Linked DNA regions of Callithrix jacchus. The main gene of each other region encodes a partner of the protein of the gene in region 3 in a complex. Links are inferred from orthologs where the notes say so. Each region holds a gene or a part of one and is shown on either strand. Other genes may lie near its edges. The genes, in order: TGFBR1, ITGB8, TGFB1, ITGB6, ITGAV, TGFBR2 and NRROS.

Region 1 (3,137 bases), on a different chromosome or scaffold from region 3:
ATTGGGGAACTGATAGCACTATAAAGTCAAAGTTGTGGCTCACAGCTAGGATAGTTTTTCCTCCCCTTGGAATAAGATCACAGTGATAAAAGGACTTTGAAAACTGCAAAAGCCCTGCAGAGACTTTATAGCATTGGAAGTAAAAACCAGTTATTACAAGCTAGTTTCAACTTAATGTGAGAAGACCATGACAAGTTTGCTTTCAATATTTAACTTGACAAAAACATCTGTAAAAATGGAGAAGAACCTATACTCAGAATGTTCTTTAGCTACCACCTCTTCCAAATATCAAGGGTGCAATGAATGCATTACATAAATTACATGTAAAGTAAGCAGTTGCAGTGTACGCACACATAAGGAAACACTGAATTAAAAGCTGCCTTCCTCAAAGTGTAGTGAGACCTCAAAATCATACTAGCTCTAACCTCAGTTACAAAGACAGAGGATCCACCAAACATTCCTACATAACCAATGTGACTCTTGCACATCTGTTATCTATTCAAATTACTAACTACCTTTGCCTTCCTGGAAAAAGGCCTATTATTTAACATTAACCATATTCTAATTTTAAATGTAATTCCTTTCTTAAAAAAATAACACTGTCTTTGAACAGATAAAGAAAAAAATGGCTTACAGAATACCACATAACTTTTCACAAACAGCTAGACAAACTTTCCCTTTTAGAAAAATTAGTCTGTATGATACAAATATTAAAGTACTATAAGCATGTAGAGTGCCACTTGCTATTTTAAAAGTATACTTAGACAACACAATTAAAATGCAAAAGCTTGATGTGAGAATATTCAAACATGACCATGCTAACAATGTACTAATTAATGCCACTTCATTTCTTTAGTGGCTTAAGCACATTTTGGTAGAAGAAAGGCATTTTCAAAATAGAATACCAAATGACATACCACAAAAACCTTTCCAAAAAACAAAACAGAAAAAGTTTGGGATACCCACATAAATAAGCTTTTTGAATTCAAACACTATAGGTTTTAACATAGAGACTTTCAGCAATTCTACTCATTTCCATTAAAAAGACACAGAAGTGGCACTTACTGGTATAGTACAATCCCATTTTGAAGGCATGTAATGTTCTGAATAAGTGAAAGAACAATAATAGTATACAAAATACAATTGCATAAATTATGTTCCTCACTACTATATGAGGTCATTTTTAGACTCAAGATAAGAGTTTTATAAGTGTTAGTTTTAAGATCCTGAAAAACTATAGGAGAGTACATTCAAAGTCTGAATCAAGGAAACTCTAGTGGTTCAGAATCCTCTGAGAATGTACTAACCAGGAGTAAATCACTTTCTTTAATAATAAGAAATGTTTTATTATAACTCAGTAATCCAACTCCTTTGCCCTTAAAGATGATCTTCAGCACAGCAGAGTTACCTACAGTTAAGACCAGCAATCATCTTTTTAAAAAACAAGTTTTGTTAATAAAAAATAAAGGTAGACTACACAACATTTTGTAACTGTCCTGGCAAAGAAGCGTTCATAGTGCACAGAAAGGACCCACATGGCTGTTTACTGGGTCCAAAGAAATCCTGGGAAGTTTTAATTGCCTTTATTACACTGCTGCAAAAGGAAGCAACATCCTTCTGTTCCCTCTCAGTGAGGTAGAACAATTGACCTCCCAAATTAAAACCCAGGAGCAGATCTGAAGAAAAAAGTCGAGTTCAAGCAAAGCTGCAGAATTACATTTTGATGCCTTCCTGCTGACTGAGTTGTGATAATGTTTTCTTAATCCGCAATGCGGTAAGCCTAGCTGCTCCATTGGCATACCAACATTCTCTCATAATTTTAGCCATTACTCTCAGGGCCTACAAGAAAATACAAGAAAAATAATTAATGCATGTACCATTTTCCACTGGTCTGGATAAGAATCTTTACCTGTAAACTTTCTTTTTAAATGACAGATAAACATTCGTTGTTGTTGTGGAAGCATTATTTGTAACAGCAAATGAGTAGAAATTACATAAATTTCCATCAACAGAGTATTGGTGTCAGTGCTGGAAAGCAGGTGGACAAAGACTTAGCAAACCTGAAAAAGCCAAATCCTAAACCAGAGCTGGGCAAAGCAAAGAAGAAACCTGACCTCACTAAACTTTTAAGTTTGTACTTTGAAGCATCCAGATCAAATTTTTCTTTTTGAGACAGGGTCTCTCACTCTGTCGCCCAGAGTGGAATGTAATGGCACGCTCTCAGCTCACTGTAGCCTTGACCTCCCAGGCTCAAGCAATCCTCCCACCTCGGCCTCCCAACTAGATAAAATTTCTAAAAGACAAAATCTAGCAGCACTCTTATGTCACATGCAAATCCTTTGAGCATGCTGAAATACATTTTATCTGGGCCTGGAGATGATTTTGTTGGAGGTAGCAAGCTCTGTTGGTTATTAGAGGTTCTGCTGAGTCCTACAATATTTTAAGATGTAAAACCAACTACTGAACTGAACAGCTTTTTATAGCCTTTTAAGCTATACAACTTCAAACCTGGAGGAATAGTCCCCGCTTTACTAATTTTATAATAGTAACAGCTAGCAATTAAGGAGAGAGAGGTTAAAGAAAATTTGTCTTACGAATCCTTAAATTTGCAATTACAAAAACATTTCTAAAACTTTTGTTAGAGCTGATGAGAAGCTCAGACACTCCTGGAAAAAAGCATTTTCCCCAAATTCCTGGTTAATGGTCATCTAGGCAATCAGATGAATGAAATGGAAAATCATTTGAAACACCTTTGTAATCACCTTATCTGAGTTCCTCACCTTACAAAGGGATATTAAGGTCCAGAGAACTGAAGTGATTTGTTCAAAGTTAGATCCTTAAAATGGTAGCCAGGCTGGTCTAGAATACATGTCTCCTTATTCCTGTCCAGGAACTGTCCACTATTCTGGGTTGTCCTGGCTGAAGGTAGGCCAGGCGCGGTGGCTCACGCCTGTAATCCCAGCACTCTGGGAGGCCGAGGCGGGTGAATCACGAGGTCAAGAGATCGAGACCATCCTGGTCAACATGGTGAAACCCCGTCTCTACTAAAAATACAAAAAATTAGCTGGGCATGGTGGCGCGTGCCTGTAATCCCAGCTACTCGGGAGGCTGAGGCAGGAGAATTGCTTGAACCCAGG
Region 2 (4,194 bases), on a different chromosome or scaffold from region 3:
TTGTAGCTATATCACAAAAGTACAGCAGTTTATGCTGATCTCTAATTTTCTGAGTTATACTGGCTATAATTTACATTTTTTGCATGTTTTTAACTGCCATGCAAATGAGTATACATCAGAAACCTTTGTATATTGACAGAGACTGGGAAAAGGATGCCTTGTTCTCATTTCAGATAAGCATTCCTTTTCAGGTCTGCAGGTGCAGGGAGGCCCATTCATATTTCCTTCAAATCAGTTTTAGTCAATGGGTGGAAATACAATGGTTTTTCACCAAAGCCTGACTAATGTTTATAAGCACGGTTCATGTTTTTAAAAAATTTACTATAAATGGCACATTTTAGAGGCAAGTAGGACTTTTTCCTTTGCCTATACATTGGGAACAAAATATACTGAGTTAACACAAATTTTGGTCATTTTACTAGTGTGTATGTGTGTGTGTGTGCCTGTGTGTGTGTGTTTACTAAATCAGAAAAACACTTTATTACTTATTGAAACAGGATGGAATTGTGCTCAGTGGAAAATTTGCTGCAACAAATACAGGTTTCTTTTATTTAAGAGATAACTCATAATAAATGTTACTTTTTCCTTTGCCTTTCACTTATTTTGAAATCAACAAACAAGTAAAAAAAATAACCACAAGATACAGAGATTTACTCTAATTTCTCCATTTCAGATAACTGAGTAAATCTCCCTGAAACAAATGTTAGAAAACTATATATGCAACAATTAATTAAAGATAGCTGGATGTTTCCATATGTTTATACATATAAGCCATTTATAAGGTTATGATCTGCTTTGATTAGCTTCAGGCGAAAAACTGGCACATCAAAGTATAGGAGTAAATTTTAACCTATAAAACAATTACAACTATTATGTAAACTTTCCTTGATCCCCAGAGGTCAGAGAGAGGCTCTAATATAATTTAAGGGCTTGGTGAACAAACAGAGAAAAAGTGAAATTAAAAAAAAAATATGACAATAGTCACTGCATTAGCAAAAATAAATGTTGGGCCTATATTGAAAACCATTAAGAACTTAAACTGATGTTAGTCCTATTACTTAGTTGTATAGTTTTCCAACAATCCAATTTGATTGTTTCATAAATCAAAAGTCCCAAAACACCTTCTCATGTGGTATTTGACTTGAACTTTCCTTTGTGATTTGAACTCAGAAGGCAGGTATTCCTATCCTCATTTTACAGATGAGGACAATGAATTTTATAAAGCGTTAACCTCTCTACATCAGGGTAACTGACATAAATGGCTTGCCTGGACAGAAAGTTGTCAATACTGGTCCAGCATTCTTTCTGCTTCTCTGTCTCAGAGATTGATCTTAGCGAGGGATCAATTAGATAGATTTGTTTTTTAAAACAGCTGAAAGGATGGTGACTTAAAGCATGAATATCCCTCCAGTGTGTGTAATTCATTCAGACTGAGCACTAAAGATAACAGAAACTTGGATGTTCTTTTCTGGACTCAAAAACTGAAGACTACTCCCATTATAACCAACTTACCTACAGCCTCGAGTTAAAGGCACGCTAGTTGTTAGTGGACCCAAATATTAGAAAGATGGGATGAAGATTCTGTACAGACGATGCTCTTAAGAATGGACCAGGGCCCCTAAATGACTTCTGTAAACAGGACACCCTCTCTTCCAGAATTCCTTTCTATTATGGCTTCCCCAACACTTACGAATAACACACAGCGTCTCCTGTGATCATTAGTTCTTGCTTTCACTCCAGGGCAGAAAGACACCTGGTCTAGAGACCATCTGTGCTGGAGCACCTGCCACACACCCGCCCTCCTGAAGTTCTCTGATGCCTGCAACTTACCTGGGTGGGATGCTCTGGCCGAGCAGCTCTTCGTGCCAGCCCAAGACATTGGGGAAGAGAAGAAAACAAAACAACAAAACAAAACAACTTACCACCTTGGCCCAGTCCAAGAACAAGTGAAAACACCCAGGCTGCCCAGAAGAACGAGGCGGGACCTCGCCGGTCCTTTTGCAGGCAGGCAGGAACAGCAGTAAAAAAAGCCAGGGCCGAGCCGCACATAATGCAAAACAGCCCGCCTCGCGCCCGCCGCCTGGCTGCTTTCCGGTCTCGTGCTCGCGCCTCACGAGCGCACCTCGGGGGCCGAGTGTCTCTAGGACGTTTCCCGCAGGCCCAGCAGGCGGACCCCGCGGCTCGGAGCAAGCGAAGCAGGTGAGCGGACCCGGGCACTCCTCGTCATCTCAGGGCCCTCGCGGCCCTCCTGCCATGGTACAGCGGGTCCCAGGGTCTCCGCGAGAAGCACCTCCTTCGACTGCCAAGGGCCCCGGCGGCTACTGGAGAGAAGTCTCCTCAAGGGCTCCGCAGCCTGCTCTGGGACAAAGAAAAGAGCTTTTGTTTCTCTCTAGCCGGTGGGACTTCTGCTGCATAAATCGGCTTAGCGAAGAGCCAAACACAATCAAACCCAAACAAAGCCCGAAGCTGGTGGTGAGGGGGGAACCACCCTAATGTACATTCACTGGGTGATGCTGAATCTGTGGGAGGGGACGCTGGTGAGGTCGAGGGGAAAAAGTCGATGGCGCATCAATCTGGGCGGTTTCTTCCACAGGTGGGCAGGCAGGCCACCTCCACTAGTGGCAGCTTGCAGCCTCGTCTGCGGAGCAGCGGGCAACAAGTCGGCAGCGTCCCGGCTGACGAGGGAGGAAGCTCGGGATGCCAGCAACAGGGGGAGGCGGCTGTGGGAGCGCCCTAGAAGCACCCGCTGACATCGGCAGGCACAGAGCGAGACATCGCCTCTCCCTGCCTGGCCGGGAGTGAGGCTGGTGGCCAAGAGCGCAGAAGGGGAGGTTCCCACGGGGTACGGGAACCCGGCTTTGCGGAGCGGGGGCTGCGTGCCCTGGTCGTTTTTGCCTCAGTGCGCGGCTCGGGCGTCCCACAGTCCAGAGCCCAGGTTGCTGGTGCGCTCGGAGGTGCACACTGCTAGGATGCGAGAGAGGCTGGCGAGGGACGGGAGAGGGGTGGTCCTGCTCTGCCCCCAGGGGTGGGGGACTCCACACCTGCCGGTAGCAGGGAGCACTTAGGGCGGAGAGTTGCTAGGAAACCTCCCCACGCTACCGGAGCGCCTAGCTGTTATTGCTGCCCGCAGGAGCGGCGACAGCCCTGGCGGCAGCATCAGTCACAGCTCTGAGCAGCGTGGGCGGGACATTGGTGAGGCATGAAGTCACCTCGGCCCACATTTGCTCTTTGTTTTTCTCACTCGAGCTCTTTCTTTTCCCCCTTGGCTCTGATAGTGGCCATTCCCAAGGTTCACAAGAACTCCTAAAGCGTAGCGGCGCAACAGGAATGGCACGCCTCGTTTCCTTCTCCCTCCTCCCCCGAATCCCTCCACCCTAACGCTCGCTCGAGGCGTGGTGGGACACTCGCTCAGCGGCAGCTGAGAGCAAACCCCAATCTCTCACCCCTGCGCGCTGCTTTGTTCAGAGATACTCACTGCCCCGCAGCTGCTGCATACAAAGTGGAGTCCAGGGGCCTCCCCTGACCCCAACGCCCTCTACTCAGCACTTTGTTTGCAGTTAGGAGCTCGTCCTCTGCTCCGCCACGAGGCTTCCTGGGTCTTCCTAGCCCTTGGAGAGTTGGACCCGTCTGCAGAGGCTGTTCCTGGAGCGACTGGCCAAGATTCCTTGCCGCTCCTTCTCTACTCACAGCCTTAACCCTGGGCTGGACAGCCCTGTTTTTGCCCAGGGTCTGGTGGTGGCTCTGGGCTTTTGCAAGTTACAATGAGTCTTTTGATCTTAAGTGTCACCTTCCCATTAAACGGAACAGAATAGAGACAGCAGCAAAGTGGGGAGAGAGGAGCTAAGGAGAGAAGGTGGGAGACATTTCTGCCTGCTTGCAGCTCAGAAATTTAGGTGCAAGTGGGGAGCGAGTGTTAGGCTGGGCAACTGCCTGTGAAGCAGCGTGCCTCCTCGGGTCCTGTCACTACTACTCTAAGTCCAGGGTGGGAACTGAGTACCCCGCTTTGGAAACAAGGAAACGCGGTGATGGTTCTCTTTTCCCACTAGGGGCAGGAGTGGTTCCCAGTCGAGAAGTTTGACCTCATGTTTTAATACAATCCCCGCCTCTTACAGGCATCAGACCAGTCCAGCCAGGTCAAGGTGAAATATGCGGGAGTTTCCCCCATTCTCATTTGTTTAATAGTTTCCGTCTCCT
Region 3 (4,155 bases):
CACGTGGGGAAAAGAGACACACAGGCATTTGTGGGGGAGAACAGGATTGGAGGGATCAGTGTTAAAGGAACCTCTACACAGAAGATGAAGCAAAGAGAAGGCGAGACTAAGACGTGGGTGCGGAGTGGGCGTCACTGGGCTGGAGCAGTAAACTGGCGCAGGAATGGGCCGGTGACCCGCAAGCCCCCACCACCCAAGAGTCAGTGAAACCTCAGGGACCTTCCCCCAGGCTATGAACCACACGGGATGCCTGGGTCCTCGCGTGGGTGCTGACGGGCCGTCTCAGCGGGAGCCCCGCCCATAGCTGGGGTGAAGAGAGCAGGAGGCGCCACAGCCAGGAGAGCCGGGACCAGACCTGCCCCGTCTCGCCCCGGGCTCGGCGAGCGATCCCCGCCCCCACCGGGGGCATGGGAAGGAAAGGGAAGGGAAGAGGGTGAGGCGGCCGGACGCTGGGGTTTCCCCAGCCCCGAGAGGAACTGACTCTGGGCTCCAGACTGCCAGCGTTTAGCACAGCGGGGTCCTCTTGCCCTTTGGTGGAAGAGCAGGCTCCTCCCCCCGCGCGTGGCTCCCACGTGGGGCTTTCTCACCCCTCCCAGCTTGATTTTCTCACCACGGAATTGTAGACTCACCCCCAACCCAGCACTTCCCCAGCGGCTGGGCTCTACTCAGCCCATTCCCCCGCATCCTGCGGCGAATTGGGGGCTCGCTATTCGCAGTGTAGATGGCGCTGGGTATTCTCTCCTCTGCTCCGCTCACGCCACCTTTCCCACGCTTGTCTCCCCTCTCGGTAAAGCCCTTCCCATGACCCACAATTCTAGGTCTCCTGAGAGCTTGATTCCTCCGCTGGGCTCCCACTCTGTCCCTCAAGTCCCAGTGGGAAACACCGAGGACACCTCTGCATCCCCGGCGCCCTCCCGGGTCCCGCTAGCCTCTTCCTTCCAATAACCTCGACTTCCTTTCTCCCCACATTTATCACACCAACCTCTTTCTTTTTCTACGACTCTACCGCAGCCCCGCAGCCCACGTGTTCTTCGCAGCCTCCGGAAGGGGGTCCACTATGGCTTTCCTGGCACCTCCTGGGGTGGCCTTCATCTAGCTTTTCTGTCCTTCTAGAATCTTTCCACCTCAGGACCCCCGCGCTCCGGGTCAACTTTCCCCAGTGCCTCTTTTCCTAAATACTGGTGTTTTCGCTTCTCCCACACCAGGCTCCCCCATCTCTGCAACTCCCACCCCACGGACCCCCTAATTCAACACATCCTGGAAGAAGGAGCCTTCTTCCACCCTCTCCCTATTAGTTCTCTCCCTCTAGGGGACTCCCCCCGCCCCGCGTGACCCCGCATGTTCCCGTCGCCCTCCAGAAGCGGTCCACTTCACTATCTCCTCCTCTCCAAGACCAGGTACCTGGGGGGTAGGGGGCTCAGTGCCATTCTCTTTCGACACGCCCCTCCCACCATCCCACGTTCCCGGTGCCACGGGGGTCCTGTTCCTCCAGGCAGTTTCCTCTGCCAGTCACTTCCTCCCCGTGGCCCCGGCACTCCGGCGCCCCCTGGGGGCCCCCCTCTCGACTCCCCTGCCCCTCCGAGCTCACCGTGGCGGGTTTCCATCATGAACACGCGGGTGACCTCCTTGGCGTAGTAGTCGGCCTCCGGCTCGGGCTCCGGCTCGGCGCTCTCCCCGGCCACCCGGTCGCGGGTGCTGTTGTACAGGGCGAGCACGGCCTCGGGCAGCGGGCCCGGCGGCACCTCTGCCTGATTCGGGGGGCTGGCGAGCCGCAGCTTGGACAGGATCTGGCCACGGATGGCCTCGATGCGCTTCCGCTTCACCAGCTCCATATCGATGGTCTTGCAGGTGGATAGTCCCGCGGCTGGCCGGCCAAGCGTCAGCACCAGTAGCCACAGCAGCGGCAGCAGCAGCGGCAGCAGCCGCAACCCGGAGGGCGGCATGGGGGAGGCGGCGCCCCCCGGCACTGTCGAGAGCGCGAACAGGGCTGATGCGGTGGGGCCCCCGCAGGGGCTGGGGGGTCTCAAGGGAAAGTTGAGGTCCTCAGAGCGCAGTGGTGGAGGGGAGGCTTTGACCGGGGTGTCGCAGTATCCTGTGTAAATAAGCTAGATGGGCGAGATCTGGTACCAGAAGGTGGGTGGTCTTGAATAGGGGATCTGTGGCAGGTCGGAGAGATCCGACTCCCGGAGGAGAAAGGGTCTAGGATGCGCGGGGACTCGGGAGACAGGCCGGAGATGAACGCGGTGTGCAGGGGGTGCGCCCGAGGTCTGGGGAAAAGTCTTTGCTGGAGGCCGGGTCGGCGACTCCCGAGGGCTGGTCCGGAATGGGGGCGCCTGAGGGACGCCGTGTAGGGGGCAGGGAGGGAGCAAGTGTCCCCGGCGGTGAGGGGAGGCGGTCTGGGGTCCCCAAGTCCTGCCTCCTCACGGGGTAGCGTCGCGCCAAGAGGTCCCCGTGCCTCCGGCTCCCAGCGGCAACGGAAAAGTCTCAAAAGTTTTTTTCCTCTTCTCCCGACCAGCTCGTCCCTCCTCCCGCTCCTCCTCCCCCTCCTCCCCGCAGTGGCGGGGGCGGCTGCGGCGGCGGCTGGTCTCAGACTCTGGGGCCTCGGGCTGCTCCTCGGCAACTCTTTCCTCTGCTCCGGGCTGAGGCCGGCCCCGCGGGCGGCTGAGCCGGGGGGTGCCCCGGACGGGGCGTCCCCCCTGCCCCCGGCCGGGGCCCTCGCTGTCTGGCTGATCCGTGGAGGGAGGTGGGAGGGAGATGGCCCAGGGCGCGAAGGGCGGTGGCGGCGGGGACCCGCTGGGTCGGCGGGGGGGGGGGGGGGGGGGGGGGGGTTTGAAGCCGCCCCGGCCCCACCCAGGAAGCTCACGGGGCGGGAGCGGGGGCGGCTCCCAGGGGGTAGGCATGGGGGGGGCTGGGCCACCGTCTTCATCTCGCGTGGGCCGGCTCCGAGGGGGGTCCCTTCAGCCCTGGGGGGAAAGGGGCGGGCACCCCGGCTCCGCCCCACAAACAGGGTGCTGCCTCCTGGCGGCCAAGCGCCACCAAAGCGGGTGCTCCAGATGCGCTGTGGTTTTGCCGGGCGGTATGGGTCACCAGAGAAAGAGGACCAGGCGCAGAAGGCTTAATCCGGGGGATGAGACACAGGGCAGCCAACTGGGAGAGGGTGACCCAGAATGGGAAGAGTGTGAGGCTGAGGCACAGGCTGGGGAAGAGGGTCTGTCACGGTGGGGGCCTGGGAAGGGTGTCAGTGGGAGGAGGAACAACAGGACACCAGAGAAATGGAGGAGTCAGGAGGCAGACACCTGTAAGAATTGTTCTCCTTTACTGAACACCTCCCTTGTGCCAAGCAGCCTCTTGACCCAACATCCTGCGACCCTACACATTTACTGTCCCCAACTTACAGATACAGAAACTGGGTCCAGAGTGAGCCAGAGGTCCTTGAAAGGACAGAAGCAGAGCTATATCTTAGCTGGGGTCAGCTCTGATGGTCTCCAGAGTCCATGCTCTTGACCCCTGTGCCATCCTGCCCTTCACGGGGAATCCAGGAGTGCAGGTGATGGTGGCGGCGTTGGAGGCAGGGTCCCTCAGCACTCAACGCCGTAGCGGTCGAAGTGGCGCAGCAGCAGGCTGATCTCCAGGTGCACGGTGCCACCAGCAGCTGTGTGCAGGCGATAGCGGTCGGCACCACTGTAGATGGTGTCCCCATGCAGCAGCTGCGGCCCTCCACCCACAAAAGCCCGTGCCAGCTGTTCCCGCCAACTGCCAAGGGGCCGCCATGTGGGACAGGCCAGCTGGTGGGTGCCTGGGCTGCTGGGCACATGGCAAAATCCATAGCCTGCAAGCTGGCAGCGGCCAAAGCTGTCCTGGGACCACACCTGGAAATGGAGCCGGGGCCAGCCTGTAGGAAAGGAGGGAGAGGGGACAGAAGGGATGGGTGGGGACCAGCCTCCTGCCCCTGATTCCCTCCTCCTCAATGCCCACTGGGCACCCCAGGGCCAGTCCCTTCCTCTCTGGGTTTCTGTCCTAGGGTTTCCAACCCAGCCTCCTTTTTAGGCTCCCACCCTCTCATCTACCCTCACACAAAGGCCAAACAGATCTTTACAAATCGATGTTACTCACCCTGCTCAAGATCCTTCCATAGCTCCCCAGTGCCCTTGGTAC
Region 4 (3,500 bases), on a different chromosome or scaffold from region 3:
TGGAAATGCAAAATGTACATTCGCTTTGGAAAACAATTTGGTAGTTTCTTTAAAAATTATACAGTTCAGCAATTCCAGTTTAGGTGTCTATTGTGAAGAGAAGTAAAAGCATACATCCATTCAAAGACTTCAGTGCAAGTGCTCACAGCAGCCTTTTCATAATAGCCCCCTAAAATAGAAACAACTCAAATGTTCTCCAATGAAAGAATGAGTAAACAAAATATAGTAAATAAATACAATGGATTGTTAACTGAAACGAAAAGAAGCAAACTCCTGATACATACAAAGTCATAGGTAAATCTTGAAAACATTATGTTGAACCAAAGAAGCCAAACACAGAGGGCATATACTACATTACATATTTATATAAAATTCAGGAATAGGTAAAACCAATATAAATTATCGACTTCGGAAAGCGGTTGCCTTTGAAGTGGTAGAACTGACTGTAATGGGAAATTTCTGAGGTGATGAAAATATTCTGCATCATGTTTTGGATACTGATTGCAATGGTATATTTAACCATCAAAACACATCAAACTAAACATTTTCCATCTGTGCATTTTAGGCATGTCAACTATACGTCACAAGGAATTGTGAGGAGTAGGCAGACAGTGTACTTATTGCCCCTATTTTCCTCCTTTCCTCCTGACTGAAATGAAGAAGTGATGATTAGTACCCCAGCACCATTCTTGGACCATGAAGATAAAATCCAAGTGTCAATAATGGTGAAACAGAGAGCAGAAAAAGGCCTGGATTCCTCATGTTTTTGAATCTGCCATACATCCCTGAATGGCCTTCCTCTGGTCCTTATATAAAAAAACAGAAGAAAATATTGGCTGGGCATAGTGGCTCATGCCTGTAATCCCAGCACTTTGGGAAGCTGAGGCAGGTGGATCACTTGAGGTCAGGAGTTTGAGAACAGCCTGGCCAACATAGTGAAACCCAGTCACTACTAAGACTACAAAAAATTAGCCGGGTGTGGTGGCAGGCGCCTGTAATCTCAGTTACTCAGGAGGCTGATGCAGAAAAATTGCTTGAACCCAGGAGGCAGAAATTGCAGTGAGCTGAGATCATGCCACTGCACTCCAGCCTGGGTGACAGAGTAAAACTCCATCTCAAAAACAAACAAACAAACAAACAAACAAACAAACAAACAAAAAACCTCCCTTTTTAAGCCACCATCACAGATATTTAAAACCAAACACAATTTTTAAGTGTTACAATCATTGAAAAGTTCCTTTTATGGTTAAATTATTTTTGATTATGTTAGATTGTAGTTGGGGGCTACATTGAGATTTTTTTAAATGGTATAATAAAAGCTATTTATCTTTTATAGAGATTGATGCTTTTGGTGTATAAAAGTATTATGTCAATAAACATTTGGAAAATTATTTCATATATATTAGATGTATAGTAGTAATGGGCTTGCTTTTGGGACAAATCGAATATGGGTACAGATCATGGGTTTGTCATGTGGCCTTGGGCAAATAGCTAACCTCTCAGAGCCTCTTATTTCTTCTGAGTATAGAGCTGGTGTTATTAAGCTTTAACCTGCTGTTATGAAGACTGAATGAGGTCATGTGTGTAAAACCTTCAGCACAAGGTCTGGCACAGAGCATATAGTAGCTCTTTTTCAATAGGAGAATATTAAATAGTTTGTTTCTGAACATGTCATTCACTTAACAGGTAAGCCATCACAAAGCAATTTGTCCTCCACCATCACCTGAATAATATGTGGTTTTAATAGCTTATTATAACATATTAGAATGGAGTCATTGCCTATGAAATCATTTACTACTGAATTTAATAGCTATGAAGGCTGCCCAGGCCTTCTCCAAGCAATAGGAGAAACAAATATTTCCCAAAGTACATCAGAGAAAGTTGCAAAAATTATTATTTTGCCAGAAGTCATTGTTGTGGAGAAACATTCTGGGAAAGTGAAGTTATTCTCCAATAACCTCAGAAAGTGGTGGCCACTGAGACTAGAAAGTGTGTGAAAGACTGGGCGAGGTGCCATCCAGCGGAGCCTATGGTGAAAGCCTTGGTCCCCTTGTCTGCATAACACACATTCTGGTTTGCTACAACCTGCCCTACACTGGAAGGCAGATGCAGAGGCTGCAAGAAGCCATGGCTAGAACCATGTAGTTCAGATGACCTCACCTCCACTCCAAGCAACCTAGGCACTGGAGAGAACTGCTGAGATCCAACCAGATGAAGCAGAAATGCCAGGGAGTTAGCAAGCTCCTGGCAAGTGCAGCTCAGAGCCGGGGTATCTCCACAAAAAATCAGTGCACGAAGATGCCAAGGGAATCATTTGCTTACCTGCAAGGGTTGGCAATTTCTTCTGGTGTTGTTTTCACAAAAGGGGATACAGGTTTTTCAACAAATGATCCGAAGCCCAGTCTAAAGTTGCTGGTTAATTTAGACATCTCCTTGGAAAGCCGGGATCCCAGCTCCTTGATTGTGTGGAGGTCATCATCCATGGAGGCGGAGAGGTCCATGAGGTAATACAAATCCACCGGATAGTCCTCGGTCTGGCGGACATGCACTTGCAGAGTCTGTGCACCACCTGCAAAGACCAATGGGAAAAGCAAACCCAGAAAAACACACTGAGATTCATTTGCAACTGGCCAGTTGCTGGGTCAGCTGGCTATTACACCTCAGTAAGAACTTACTGAAAGTCAAGGTCCTAAATGAACCAACCCATAAAAATTTTTCAGCAGGGAGTTTAGAACTACTGGAGGATAAGTTAGGATATTTTATATCTCCTTGGGAGAACTAGCATCCATTTAGATAGAAGATAAGCTGAATTTTTTGTGCTTCGTTTTAGAAAAGAGGCATCTAATAAAAGAGAGTTTAAATCTACATTACAACCCTTGAAGAGATGTGAGGTAAGCCTTAACAACATTTGAGTAATTTAAATGGTTACTATTAGAGAAGGCTTCTTTAGTAACACATTTGGAGTGCCAGGGACCAATGTGAATAAAGAAAAGTGTGAGCCTAGCAATTTTCTATTTCCTTAAGAATGGGAAATTCGAGGCATAATAATCAATGTAATACAATACAAGACACATTAGTGGAGTAGAAGAATTGCCATATATGACATCAGATCTATTTACATGAGCCAAATCCTAACATACCTGGTCTCAACTTCAGGATCAAGCTTTGAGGTGCAATCTGAACAATGTCAGAACTATTTTTCTGTGTGCCTACACTGAGAGGCTTATTTTTAAGTATTTCTACTTGTGAGACAGGGTTTTCGATGAAGTTTAATTGACATCCTTTAGCTAATAGGTTTGCTGGGGTATCACACCTTTCGCCAACTCCAGATGAGTGGGTAAAATTCTAAAAAAGAAAAAAGAAAATCAATAACTAGAAAAAGAAAACAAATCTGAATTTCTTATAAGATACCAGCAATTGAAAGTTTTTTATTATACATAGAAAGGAACAACCAGTATTAACCTTTCTAAAAATATACCAAAAAGTAAACAGCATCAACA
Region 5 (3,500 bases), on a different chromosome or scaffold from region 3:
TAAAATGGTGATAAATTATAATGAAAAACATTTTACATCAGCATTTTGATATAAACTCTTACATATAATTAAAAAATAGTGAATGAAAATTTAGTATGACCGAGTATTTACCACTCAATATATGGTGAATTGTAAGAACAAAAAAATAAAGATTAGAGTCTTTAACATGTACCAAAAAAATAGCTCTCCCTAGCCATTGTTTTCAGCCCTTGCTTAGCTAGAGTGGAAACTGACGAAACATAAACAAACAGCCTGAAATTCCACAGTACATCTGTGATGTCAATCATGGTATATTTTTAACTTTGTTTATTATTATTTTTTTACCTTTCCTTGGAGGATATTGTATAATAGTTTGTTGTGCAAATCTATGATGGTGATGACAATATCCAAAAGCATATATAATTCTACAAAATGACATTAGGTCATGTAAGTCAAAAGAATCATGAGTAAAATGAGATCTCTTATCCTGAAGGTAGAAATTTTAACAACGAAACACCTTTGATGTGATATTGTACCCTGAACAAACCACACTGTGATGGAGCCAAGGTCAAACTGAGTCACTGAAGGACATCTCATGAAGCTCACTAAGCACTCCATGAAGATATGGTTCACTAGGATGTCAATAATTAATTCTTACCCATTACATAAATGATCTTATCCTGAGTGTACTGCTTATGAACTAAACCATTTTTTGCAGAGTTGGTTTTATGAATTTCTTTTATAGGTTTAGAAAGAAGGCAATAAAATATCATTATAATGAAGAGCTGCTACTAAGAACATTACCTTAATTCTCAAAGGGTTGATTTCCATATCTGAAGTGCAGTTCATTGGCCCATCAATATCATAATGAAGGATATACAACAGAGTGTTATTGTTATATTTGTAAGGCCACTGGAGATGGAGCATTGCTTTGCTGAATGAACTTGGACCATTGTTTCTCAGCTAAGGAGATAAAAGAAAATGTATCCACACCTTGGGCAAAAATCTATACTATAATCATTCCCCTACATCAACTTTAGAAATCATATTAACAACAGGTTTTAAATAATAGCACAGTTTCCACACTTAACCTATAATTTAATTACAATATGACCATTTTTATGCAAAAATGTTCAAACTCAACATTTGTCTCTAACATAGAGTAATGCATCATGATAAAAATATAAACAAGGCTGGGGGAAGTGGCTCATGCCTGTAATCCCAGCACTTTGGGAGGTCGAGGTGGGTGGATCCCTTGAGGTCAGGAGTTCGTGATCAGCCTGGACAATATGGTGAAACCCCGTCGGTGAAACCCTGTCTCAGCTAAAAATACAAAAATTAGCCAGGCATGGTGGTGCATTCCTGTAATCCCAGTTACTCGGGAAGCTGAGGCAGGAGAATAGCTTGAACCTGGGAGGTGGAGGTTGCAGTGAGCTGAGATCATGCCACTGCACTCCAGCCTGGGCGAAAAGAGCGAGACTCCACCTCAAAAAATATATATAAATATATAAACAAAAGGGGAAAATGTTAAAAAGTTATTAATGAAAGACGACAAAAAATTTTTCTTCCTATAGAAATACAGTTTTGATTATTTGCCATAGGTATTTTTAAATTTTAGCCAGAACTACAAAATGCCCATGACAAAGTACCAATGATTTATTTCTTTTATGCAAGTAGAACTAATTGATTTAAACAACCAATTATATAAATTGCTTTCTTTAAACAAAGCTATTAGTCAAATAAAAATGAACTTATCAATAAGGAAAATACTCAAAGAAATCTCTGACACATACTTAACCAATGCAGAGTTTAAATAAAAATTACATAGAATTGTTTTTGTAAAAATAGCTTAGTTGTTCCTCTCTTTGTTGTCTCGCTCACTAGGTTTGGGTAAAATCCAACACTGCAAACCTCATAGATGTGCTGAACAACTGGCCCAATGTCTTCTTCAGTCTCAGGGTTCTCTTTGTGCTCCCAGTTTGGAATTGGAAGAAAGATATGATCAGGACTCGAGACTCTAAACAATGACCAAAGAAAACCTACCATGAATATCAAAATGATATAGTCAGTTCACTTTCAAAAGTACCCTGTATTTATTACTCAAATGAATAAAATTGGATCTAATTTTAAAAAATAGTTTAAAAGAAAACTAATGAACACACACATGGACAGAAACTGCTCTTATGAAATATACACATAACAGGTGAATTGATAATTTGTGTAAAAGTTCAGTAAACTTATTTTGTGCATGTTGTTGCTAGGTCTTGTTCATTTTGAGGATCACTCAGTATTGGGGGTTTGGAACACACCTAGGATTTTATTTCTACAGAAGCTAATGCCCTAGTAAAACCACCACTAAATGTGTAGTGTCTACTGTCCAGAAGACGCTAAGGCCTGATGGTTACCCTTTAAAAAGCAATCGTGACAAGGTGGTACTCGACTAAGTATTCATACTGACCCTCTTATCTCAACTGCAGCTAAAACAGCAAGGTCAACTTGGTGAGATACAACTGGGCTTACTCTGTCAAAAAGATTTGAGCTGAAATAGAAAAAAAATATTCAGAACTGAATTACACATAACACCAAAAACATACAGAGGCAAACCCAGTGAAACTAAAATTAACACAACAGAAGAAACAAATGTAAAGCTTATACCTCAAAATAATTATTTTCATTAATATTTAATTCCAAGAAGATGAATGTTTTATTTCTGGATTTTAAATTTTGTTTTACAAACTCAAACCTGACAATAAAATTCTTCTAATAATGTAAATACTGATTTTTAAATGCTTTAATGAAGCAATAAATTTTAATCTGTACTATTCTATATTTGAAGTACATTACATAGTATATTTACAACAAATAGTATTTATTCAACAGTTATAAGTGAATACAAGTTGTTTCACACCTTTGGATTTGTAAGTCAAATTTCACAGAAGTATCCATCTCTGACTGCTGGTGCACACTGAAACGAAGACCAGCTAAGAGCTGAAGGAGACAGTAAAAGATAGTAATGTTAGTCAATGTCTAATTAGCAATATTTCAAATCCAATGTCTAAATAAAAAATAATGCTCTAACATGGGATTTTTCTGAGTTTACAATAAAACTGAACAAAGATAATTAAATCTGATTTTCTATCAAATCTGTTTACTTAAGATACCTGGGCCAATCCATAAGAGAGCCTATTTAACAACAATTATTAATCATAATTATACCTTCTTATAATACTAAACACTTTTCTAAAAAATGAAGAAGTAAATGTTTGTTGATACAGTGATAGTCTAGTAACTGGGTACAATGATTTGATAACAGGAAGCTAACAACCAAAGCCTGTGCTGTGTCCATGGGCGAGGAGAGAAGAAATGGATGGTTTACTAGAGAAAGAGAACCTGTCTAAGGAAGACATGAGTAGGGCCACAACCAGAATTTCTCCACACACCTCTCGTAATATTCCCAACACCAAATATCGTAACTCCTGCAAGCAGAAAATCAGTAGACTTTAAATAAAACAAATGAACCA
Region 6 (3,500 bases), on a different chromosome or scaffold from region 3:
GAGCCCTGGGCTGAATTAGTCTTCAAATATATGCTAGGAAGGGATACTAAATGTAAAAGTAGTTAATGACAGCATAAAATATTTCATTGAGCTGTGAGTGAAGAACACCCTGAAATCCTTTCCCTTTTTTTTTTTCCTGATTGCGCCTTTCTGTAATTTGGGAAAGACTGCAGTTCTTTATCTGGGATGGTTCTTCCCATTTTTCTCAGCAGAACCAGCTGTTGACAAGGAGTATGCCCTTCATACACAATGCTCTGAGGCCCAGCAAACAAAAAAAGAGGAACTGTGACTATCTCCCCAGGCACGCTCTTTGAACACAGTTTAGCTAGACAGGACAGAGTTTGCCAGTTCAACTGAGGGTGTGATGTGAGCTTTGCATAACATTCAGGATGGAAGATTTAAAACGATCCTGAGTACCTAGGAATGTTCTTTTTTCCCATGCCTTCTCCTTTAATGATTTAATTCAGACTTAAATATGTAAAATTCTCCAGCAGGACTGCCCCCATGGAACACTGTCTGCTCCATGTGATGTTTATAACCACAAATGGGTTCCGAGAATAAACAAAGGAAAAACAGAAAAAAGTAGAAAAGCACAGGAGACCAGAGGACAGCCTGCGAATGCTGGAGAACAGGAATCAGGGGCCTTTGTTAGGGAACAACTTTGTGAAGGAAAAGTAGTCCAGATTGCCTTCCTGTATGGAGGCCATAGTATTCATTTATTCTCCTCCTCTCTCTCCCTCTTCCCTCACCCTCAATGAATCTCTGCACTCTAGGAGAAAGAATGACGAGAACATAACACTAGAGACTGTTTGCCATGACCCCAGGCTCCCCTACCATGACTTTATTCTGGAAGATGCTGCTTCTCCAAAGTGCATTATGAAGGAAAAAAAAAAGCCTGGCGAGACTTTCTTCATGTGTTCCTGTAGCTCTGAAGAGTGCAATGACAACATCATCTTCTCAGAAGGTGAGTTTTCTCCTCAGAAGGGACTGGGCCTGACATCTGTGCCAGTTTTTTGCACTGTTGATCTGAAGTGTCACGGACCAAGTTCCTCCTGTGGTGGATTCTGTACAGTGGATTACGAGCCCGTTCCGCTGGTGGGAAGAGGGGCTTAGGGAGGAGCAAGGTTTGTACTGGATCCGATCAAATCTAGTTGACTGGGGCAAACATTATTATTTGTCTTTGACAAATAGTTTCTTTCACCTAGAGCAGTGGTTCTCAAAGTGCAGCCCCTTGAGCAGCCAGCATGAGAATCACCTGGGGACCTGTTATAAATGCAGATTCTCAGGCCCCACTAAATCAGCAACACAGCGGGTGAATCCCAGCTATCTGTATTTTAACAAGCCCTCCTAGTAGTTCTGTGCAGCTAAAATTTGATGACCATTATTCTAGAGATTTGGATGGGGTTGTTTAATCCTGGAGGAGGACTTGCTTTATAACTGAAGCTGTTTCTTGTACATCGTCCCAGGTAGGGTACTGGTCATTGATCCCATTTGAGAGAAACATTGAAATACAGAGAGGAAATAATAAGTCAAAGTTTACCCTTGGAGCCAGGAAAAGAGTAGATTAGATACTAGCCTTCATCTTTGAAGTTCAGGGTTCACTCAGCTTGAAAGGAAGGCACACACTCTTCCCTCAATTTTTAATAAGAGAAGTGACGTTCAGTGGTTGGTTTTTAATTACAAATTAGTATATGTTCTTTATCAGAAATTCCAAACAATCCAACAGTGTGTGAAAATTAAAAATGAAAGTACATTTCCCTCATCCCCTCACTCCCAGTGCAACAGATTATCTGTATTGACAATGGACTGGACGCACACACTGAATGACAGTATCTCTGTCATTCATTCATATCTCCCACTCCCAAACACTCCCTGTCTTCCTTTCTCCTTCCCTCCTTTCATCCTTCTGTCCATCTTTTATCTGTCCCATCCACTCATCCATCTTTCACTCCAACTGTTTTATCATATTGTAAATGTTATATTGCAACACTTTTTACACCCAACCACTTTTACAGTTCTTTCTAAACAAGATGGAACACATAGTTATACTGTACATCTTTCAATTTCAGTCTAGAATTTCATATTATCTTCCGTGATGGATCTAATCATGACCCTGTGCATGGATTATTTTTGTATCGTCAGTTTTTCCACTTCGTGCTACATTAAATATCTTTATCTCATGTATTTGTGCTAATATTTCTGCAAAACAGATTGCTAGAAGTGAAATCTCTGGTTTAGAAATATGTGCATTTTAAATTTGAATAAACACTACTAAACTATTCTCCTCCCAAAAAATATGTAAACACATGGATTTTCATGTGCCTTCTCCAACACTGGGGATGGATACATCTTTTAATTTTACCATCGTGGTAGTGTAAATAAATATTAATAGTACTCTTTTGGCTCTAGGAATGTAAATTCAGGGAAGCGAAAGGTTAGTTTAGTCAACAATGGGTCTGATTTAATTAAAAAATCTTTTTGGAACACAAGTGCTGGCTCTACACCCTATCTCTGCTGCCACGTGTGTTCCACCTCCGAGAAGGGATGTGTCCTCGTGTTTCGTGTTTGGTGCTCAGCAGCACTGCACATCCAGCTTGTTCTCTTCCTGTGTCCTTCACCTACTGCCATTCTCCCTCTTCCTGTCCAGCTCCCCCTAGGCCAACTTCTCAGTGAACTGAAGGCAGGCACACCTTGTCAGGGCAACACTTTCCAGATCACTCTTCCTTCCTATGTTCCCTTCCTACAAATGGTCCATTTCTCTCATTTTCTTTCTTTCTTTCTCTCTTTCTTTCTTTCTCTCTCTCTCTCTCTCTTTCTTTCTTTCTTTCTTTTTCCTTTCTCTCTCTCTCTCTCTCTCTCTCTTTCTTTCTTTCTTTCTTTCTTTTTTAGATGGTGTCTCGCTCTTTCACCAGGCTGGAGTGCCATGGTGCAATCTTGACTCACTGCAACCTCTGCCTCCCAGGTTTAAGCAATTCTCCTGCATCAGCCTCCTGAGTAGCTGGGATTACAGGCATGTGCCACCACGCCCAGCTAATTTTTGTATTTTTAGAAGAGAGGTGGTTTTACCATGTTGGTCAGGCTGGTCTCAAACTCCTGACCTCAGGTGATCCACCCACCTTGGTCTCCCAAAGTGCTGGGATTAGAGGCGTAAGCCACTGTGCCCGGCCTCATTTTCTTTATGTGATTTGAATTAGGAGGGAGATCCAAATGATTAAATCATACTAAACATAGTAATACCCGATATTCTGACTTAACCACATCAGCTTTCTTCAAGTAGTTCACCTTTTAAAAGAAGGCCTAGGCTAAGCCAAAGGAATTAATCTGTAACACTAGAATACCCAGGCACATTTACTAGCACTGAAGAAACTTTTCCCTCCTTATGTATAGTGGCTTGTCTACAGTAGACACGTTTATTTTATTCAAAAGGACAAAAATTGATAAATGGCCTGCAAGTTGGATCTATATTTTAGTATTGAATTTCTTTGTAAAAACATCTCATA
Region 7 (4,181 bases), on a different chromosome or scaffold from region 3:
GTCGCTGATGTGCAATGACACATTAACAAGCATCAGTAAACACAGACATCTGTAAGTATGTAACAGACAGCATGTCCTAAGAAAGGTAGTGTTTTTCAGTCATGGTTGTAAGTCCACCCTCTCCTAACTTATGAGACTATACAATGGATCTATGCATGATGTGATGCACAGTCATTGCCCATAGGAGCATCTGGTTTGTGCTTTGCAATGTGGATACATAGAGAATGCAGGTAGTGATCAGTACTAGCATCTCTCTTCCAAAAGAGTCAAGACCAGAGACAGACAAGTCAATGTATTCTTTTTTTTTTTTTGAGATGGAGTTTCACTCTTGTTGCCTAGGCTGGAGTGCAATGGCACGATCTCAGCTCACTGCAACCTCTGCCTCCAGGGTTCAGGCAATTCTCCTGCTTCAGCCTCCTGAGTAGCTGGGATTACAGGCATGTGCCACCATGCCCAACTAATTTTGTATTTTTAGTAGAGTTCAGTGTTTCTCCATGTTGGTCAGGCTGGTCTCAAACTGCCAACCTCAGGTGATCTGCTCGCCTCGGCCTCCCAAAGTGCTGGGATTACAGGTGTGAGCCACCATGCCCGGCTGGTCAGTGTATTCTCAGTGCAGATCCCAGAACAGAGATATTGGGAGTCCGTGTCTCTTTTGGAGTTTACCGTGCATGTGTCATCACCAAAGAGCAGGAACTCTTGGATGATGGATTTAAAAACTATGAGAGATTATATTTATATGGGTTTTCATGAAGTTCCCATGAGGGTATCCATTAGATGAATGCGGGGTGTGGTGGCTCATGTCCATACTCCCGGCACTTTGGGAGGCTGAGGCAGGAGGATTGCTTGAGCCCAGGAGTTTGAGATCAGCTTGGGTAACACAGCAAAACCCTGTCTCTACAAAAAAAAAAAATTTTAATTAGCCGGCATGGTGGTATGCCCCTGTGGTCCTAGCTGCTCAGATGGCTGAAGCAGGAGGATCATTTGAGCCCAAGGGTTTGAGGATGCAGTGATCTGTGATCATGCCACCATACTTCAGTCTGGGCAACAGAGCAAGAGCGTGTTGCTAAAAATAAATAAATAAATAAATAAAATTTTAAAAAAGTAGTGCCTTCTTTGTGAAGCTGAGTTTTGGGGTTTTTTTTTTTTTTTTTTTTTAACTTAAAGGCATGAGTGAAGGTTTTTTTTTTTTTTCCCCTGGGCCCATGATTTTACAATCTGCTTTAGGAACTCTCAGGCATACACATAGAAACCTAAGGGGTGTGTGAGGAGAATAAATATGACTCAGGGACGTAAAGCCCAGCAAAGCCCCAGCACTCACAGGAACAGTCTGTGTGTCACAGCCAGCGAGTAAAAGGCACACAGGAAAGCATGGAGAGCCAGCTCTGTAGACTCTGAATGTTTCTAGTATCCAGACTCCTAACAGGCTGTATCCATCATGAGGAAGCCTCCAGTGGGGTTCCCTCAGCCCCTCCGGAAGCACACCAGCCCCAACCAGCCGGGTCTAGAGGCTCCATCCTTAGGACCCTGACCCAGTCTCCTCCAGTCCCAGCCACCAACTGGCACAGTTTACCTTCTCAGAGGCAGCACAAAGCCACATTAGTGGCTTCTTCTTTCCATCTAGCTCCTGGGTACATAGAGATGTACACTGACCCCTTCAGAAGCTGGCCCACATGGAGAGGCCACAAGGGCTACAGAAGGGCATCCGAGTCTTAGTCTCCCTCTGATAAACCACGGATCTAAGACTAGGCTAGCTGGCTGGGCTGCTGGGATTACATCTGTAATCCCAGCACTTTGAGAGGCTGAGGTGGGTGGATGACCTAAGGTCAGGAGTTCAAGACCAGCCTGGACAACATGGCGAAATCCTGTCTTTACTAAAAATACATAAATTAGGCAGGTGTGGTGGCACACACCTGTAATTCCAGCTATTCAGGAGGGTAAGGCAACAGAATTGCTCCAACCCAGGAGGAGGCAGAAGTTGCAGTGACCCAAGATCGTGCCACTACGCTACAGCCTGGGAGACAGACTGAGATGTGTCTCAAAAACAAAACAAAACAAAAAAAACCTAGGCTAGCCGTGGATACAAGTCACAGAGCCACAGCGAATCTCCAAGCTTTGCACGTAGTGTCCCCAAGGCCTTGTACAGGCCTGGCACATGGAAGACATCTGTGAACATGTGTTGCTGTTCACCAGTCTTAGTGTCTTCATCTATGAAATAGTGGTTCTCAACCCACGTTGAGAAAGGAGGAAAGGAGATCCCAGCGCTCAGCATGCTGAGTGTGCACAGAGTGGTGTCATCATATCCAGTCGCCCAGCCCAGGAAGGGAGCATGACTGTTCCCATTTTGCAGATGAGAAAACTGAGGCTAGGAAACCTTAACGGCCTGCTCTTATGCTCCCTGCTGAGCCAGGAGTCAAATCCAGGTCTGAGTCTGAAGCCCTCGTGGTTTCTACTACACCGCACCACCTTTTTCACCGTAAGTGCTCCTGGAGGGAGCTATTTCCACCTCCATCCAGAGCTGCAGCCCCCACACCCAGCACAGAATCCCCGTGCTTGGATGCAGCAAGCCACAGCTTCCTGGGCAGCCCTCAGCCTCGGGCCACGGACGCTGACTTCCTACCACCCATCCTCGCCCGAGCTCGCCCACCTGGAGAAGGGCCCTGGCTGTCCCCAGGGGACACCCCCACGCAGGAAATACTCACGGCTCCCGCAGGCCCAGGCGGCTCCGCGGGGCGCATCCTCTCTAGGGGCTCCAGCCTCCTCGAAAGCAGTCGAACGCCAGGCTGGGCTGCCTCCTTTCTCTGGGGCATCAGATTATTTTAGCATTAGCGGAAGGAACAGACGGAAACTGAAGTCACATGGAGAGCGGGCTGCTCAGCGACTCAGCACTCAGCCTCACTTAGATCGCGCTTCTTAGAGGGAACTGCAGCGCGGGGCGCGGGGGATGGGGCGGGCTGAGGGAAAGCGAGCACCTAATACCCTCCGGGCTTAGTCGCCAAGCATCGGGGATATTTTAATGATTTTCCAGCAATGTGAACTAGGCTCCCCTGCTTTCTTGCCTTAGAGCCTTTACAGGGCTGGGGGTGGCCAGCTACGGATCCTTGTCTGTGAGGTCTGCTGACCCAGAAACTTTTCTACAAGGTTCCAGCCAAGGACCAAGCTGAGGCTGACTTTGGGAATGGCAGCACATGGTTTCCACTTGTCAAGAGGGACAACCTGCCGTCTGGAAGAGTCAGCCACTCAGCTAGTCTGTCTTTTTATCCACTCAGCTAGTCCTTATGGATAATCTCCTTTCATGGACCCACACTGTGTTAAAAAGCAGTGGAACTGCTTTGTCGTGAATTGTCAGGGAGTGCCATGAGCTTCTGGATCACAGACTGCATGGATGAGGTTTTTTGTACCTGATGTGTACAAAGTTCCCTGCCAGCTCTTGCCAAGGATTCAAAGGAATAAGAAGCATTGATAATATCGCCATCATCGAAGGAGTGCCAGGCGCTGTGCATTCTCCCAGATCTCCTGTTCTTGAGGAACTACTGTTGTCCAGAGAAGGTGAAATATTTACAGGGTCTGCTGCATGCCCAGTGAGTGACGTGGACCATTATACTAGTAGGCTCAGACGAGGGGTCTCCAGTTCTGATCTCTCATTCCCCTTCAAATCTGGAACGCTGGGCTTGGTGCAGTGGCTCACGCCTGTAATCTCAGCACTTTGGGAGGCTGAGGTAGGAGGCTCACCTGAGATCAGGAGTTTGAGACCAGCTTAGCCAATATGGTGAAACCCCATCTCTACTAAAAGTACAAAAAGTAGCTGGACATGGTGGTGGGTGCCTGCAGTCCCTGCTACTCAGGAGGCTGAGGCAGGAGAATCACTTGAACTGGGGAGGCAGAGGTTGCAGTGAGCTGAGATTGTGCCACTGCACTCCTGCCTGGGCAAGAGAGTGAGACTATCTCAAAAAAAAAAAAAAAAAAAATCTTGAACGTTGAAGTGTCCTGCAGAATTTGGGTCACCTCTCTTGTAGCCTGTGATTTCTGATTTTGGGTACTTTTGTCCATTCTAAGAGAAGAGGAACAGGTCCTTTCTACTCCAAAAATCCAGCAGATTGTCTCTGCTCTCTACAATATTCACTCCTGGCAGGACACAGGGGCTCATGCTTATAATCCTAGCACTTTGGGAGGCCAAGGTGGAC

Evidence for each region.
Region 1: the proteins of TGFB1 (region 3) and TGFBR1 are in contact, whole or in part, in a crystal structure (PDB 3KFD), measured with the Homo sapiens proteins. The link is inferred for Callithrix jacchus from reciprocal best matches to the Homo sapiens genes TGFB1 and TGFBR1. Residues at the interface, in NP_000651.3 of Homo sapiens: Ala279, Leu280, Asp281, Asn283, Tyr284, Tyr328, Ile329, Trp330, Gln335, Lys338; in NP_004603.1 of Homo sapiens: His39, Leu40, Thr42, Lys43, Phe55, Asn68, Met70, Ile78, Phe84, Val85.
Region 2: the proteins of TGFB1 (region 3) and ITGB8 are in contact, whole or in part, in a cryo-EM structure (PDB 7Y1T), measured with the Homo sapiens proteins. The link is inferred for Callithrix jacchus from reciprocal best matches to the Homo sapiens genes TGFB1 and ITGB8. Residues at the interface, in NP_000651.3 of Homo sapiens: His117, Thr241, Arg243, Arg244, Gly245, Asp246, Leu247, Thr249, Ile250, His251, Gly252, Met253; in NP_002205.1 of Homo sapiens: Ser156, Ala157, Ser158, His160, Asn161, Asp213, Tyr214, Asn215, Leu216, Gly248, Asn249, Ile250, Asp251, Thr252, Glu254, Gln286.
Region 4: the proteins of TGFB1 (region 3) and ITGB6 are in contact, whole or in part, in a crystal structure (PDB 5FFO), measured with the Homo sapiens proteins. The link is inferred for Callithrix jacchus from reciprocal best matches to the Homo sapiens genes TGFB1 and ITGB6. Residues at the interface, in NP_000651.3 of Homo sapiens: Pro70, Gly71, Pro72, Glu75, Leu158, Asn237, Gly245, Asp246, Leu247, Thr249, Ile250, His251, Met253, Asn254; in NP_000879.2 of Homo sapiens: Ser142, Ala143, Ser144, Asp146, Asp147, Pro196, Cys197, Ser199, Ile200, Pro201, Tyr202, Lys228, Lys231, Ile232, Ser233, Ala234, Asn235, Ile236, Asp237, Thr238, Glu240.
Region 5: the proteins of TGFB1 (region 3) and ITGAV are in contact, whole or in part, in a crystal structure (PDB 5FFO), measured with the Homo sapiens proteins. The link is inferred for Callithrix jacchus from reciprocal best matches to the Homo sapiens genes TGFB1 and ITGAV. Residues at the interface, in NP_000651.3 of Homo sapiens: Gly242, Arg243, Arg244, Gly245; in NP_002201.2 of Homo sapiens: Asp178, Asp180, Phe207, Tyr208, Gln210, Ala245, Asp248.
Region 6: the proteins of TGFB1 (region 3) and TGFBR2 are in contact, whole or in part, in a cryo-EM structure (PDB 9FKP), measured with the Homo sapiens proteins. The link is inferred for Callithrix jacchus from reciprocal best matches to the Homo sapiens genes TGFB1 and TGFBR2. Residues at the interface, in NP_000651.3 of Homo sapiens: Arg303, Lys309, Trp310, His312, Tyr368, Tyr369, Val370, Gly371, Arg372, Lys373; in NP_003233.4 of Homo sapiens: Phe47, Leu50, Phe53, Asp55, Ser72, Ile73, Thr74, Ser75, Ile76, Cys77, Glu78, Val100, Asp141, Glu142.
Region 7: the proteins of TGFB1 (region 3) and NRROS are in contact, whole or in part, in a cryo-EM structure (PDB 7Y1R), measured with the Homo sapiens proteins. The link is inferred for Callithrix jacchus from reciprocal best matches to the Homo sapiens genes TGFB1 and NRROS. Residues at the interface, in NP_000651.3 of Homo sapiens: Leu30, Ser31, Thr32, Cys33, Thr35; in NP_940967.1 of Homo sapiens: Phe194, Glu195, Ile196, Glu197, Gly198, Gly199, Phe201, Leu210, Leu212, Pro218, Cys219, Ile220, Val221, Asp222, Phe223, Gly224, Leu225.

Annotation. Positions count from the first base shown.
Region 1 is NC_133502.1:147,268,848-147,271,984, reverse strand, and holds part of TGFBR1 (TGF-beta receptor type-1), read right to left. Parts: intron 1,840-3,137; coding exon 1,714-1,839; 3' UTR 1-1,713. UniProt on the Homo sapiens protein: Transmembrane serine/threonine kinase forming with the TGF-beta type II serine/threonine kinase receptor, TGFBR2, the non-promiscuous receptor for the TGF-beta cytokines TGFB1, TGFB2 and TGFB3.
Region 2 is NC_133512.1:37,927,621-37,931,814, forward strand, and holds the start of ITGB8 (integrin beta-8), read right to left. Parts: upstream 2,801-4,194; 5' UTR 2,050-2,800; coding exon 1,923-2,049; intron 1-1,922. UniProt on the Homo sapiens protein: Integrin alpha-V:beta-8 (ITGAV:ITGB8) is a receptor for fibronectin. It recognizes the sequence R-G-D in its ligands.
Region 3 is NC_133523.1:36,630,758-36,634,912, forward strand, and holds the start of TGFB1 (transforming growth factor beta-1 proprotein), read right to left. Parts: upstream 2,801-4,155; 5' UTR 1,944-2,800; coding exon 1,589-1,943; intron 1-1,588. Other genes in the region: B9D2 (B9 domain-containing protein 2), read right to left, coding at 3,579-3,892. UniProt on the Homo sapiens protein: Transforming growth factor beta-1 proprotein: Precursor of the Latency-associated peptide (LAP) and Transforming growth factor beta-1 (TGF-beta-1) chains, which constitute the regulatory and active subunit of TGF-beta-1, respectively.
Region 4 is NC_133507.1:69,659,830-69,663,329, reverse strand, and holds part of ITGB6 (integrin beta-6), read right to left. Parts: intron 3,346-3,500; coding exon 3,141-3,345; intron 2,570-3,140; coding exon 2,323-2,569; intron 1-2,322. UniProt on the Homo sapiens protein: Integrin alpha-V:beta-6 (ITGAV:ITGB6) is a receptor for fibronectin and cytotactin. It recognizes the sequence R-G-D in its ligands. Internalization of integrin alpha-V/beta-6 via clathrin-mediated endocytosis promotes carcinoma cell invasion.
Region 5 is NC_133507.1:42,317,826-42,321,325, forward strand, and holds part of ITGAV (integrin alpha-V), read right to left. Parts: intron 2,968-3,500; coding exon 2,888-2,967; intron 2,519-2,887; coding exon 2,438-2,518; intron 1,997-2,437; coding exon 1,891-1,996; intron 943-1,890; coding exon 784-942; intron 1-783.
Region 6 is NC_133518.1:68,878,746-68,882,245, forward strand, and holds part of TGFBR2 (TGF-beta receptor type-2), read left to right. Parts: intron 1-773; coding exon 774-964; intron 965-3,500. UniProt on the Homo sapiens protein: Transmembrane serine/threonine kinase forming with the TGF-beta type I serine/threonine kinase receptor, TGFBR1, the non-promiscuous receptor for the TGF-beta cytokines TGFB1, TGFB2 and TGFB3.
Region 7 is NC_133516.1:25,478,725-25,482,905, forward strand, and holds the start of NRROS (transforming growth factor beta activator LRRC33), read right to left. Parts: upstream 2,801-4,181; 5' UTR 2,700-2,800; intron 2,689-2,699; exon of another isoform or gene 2,117-2,688; intron 1,923-2,116; exon of another isoform or gene 1-1,922. UniProt on the Homo sapiens protein: Key regulator of transforming growth factor beta-1 (TGFB1) specifically required for microglia function in the nervous system.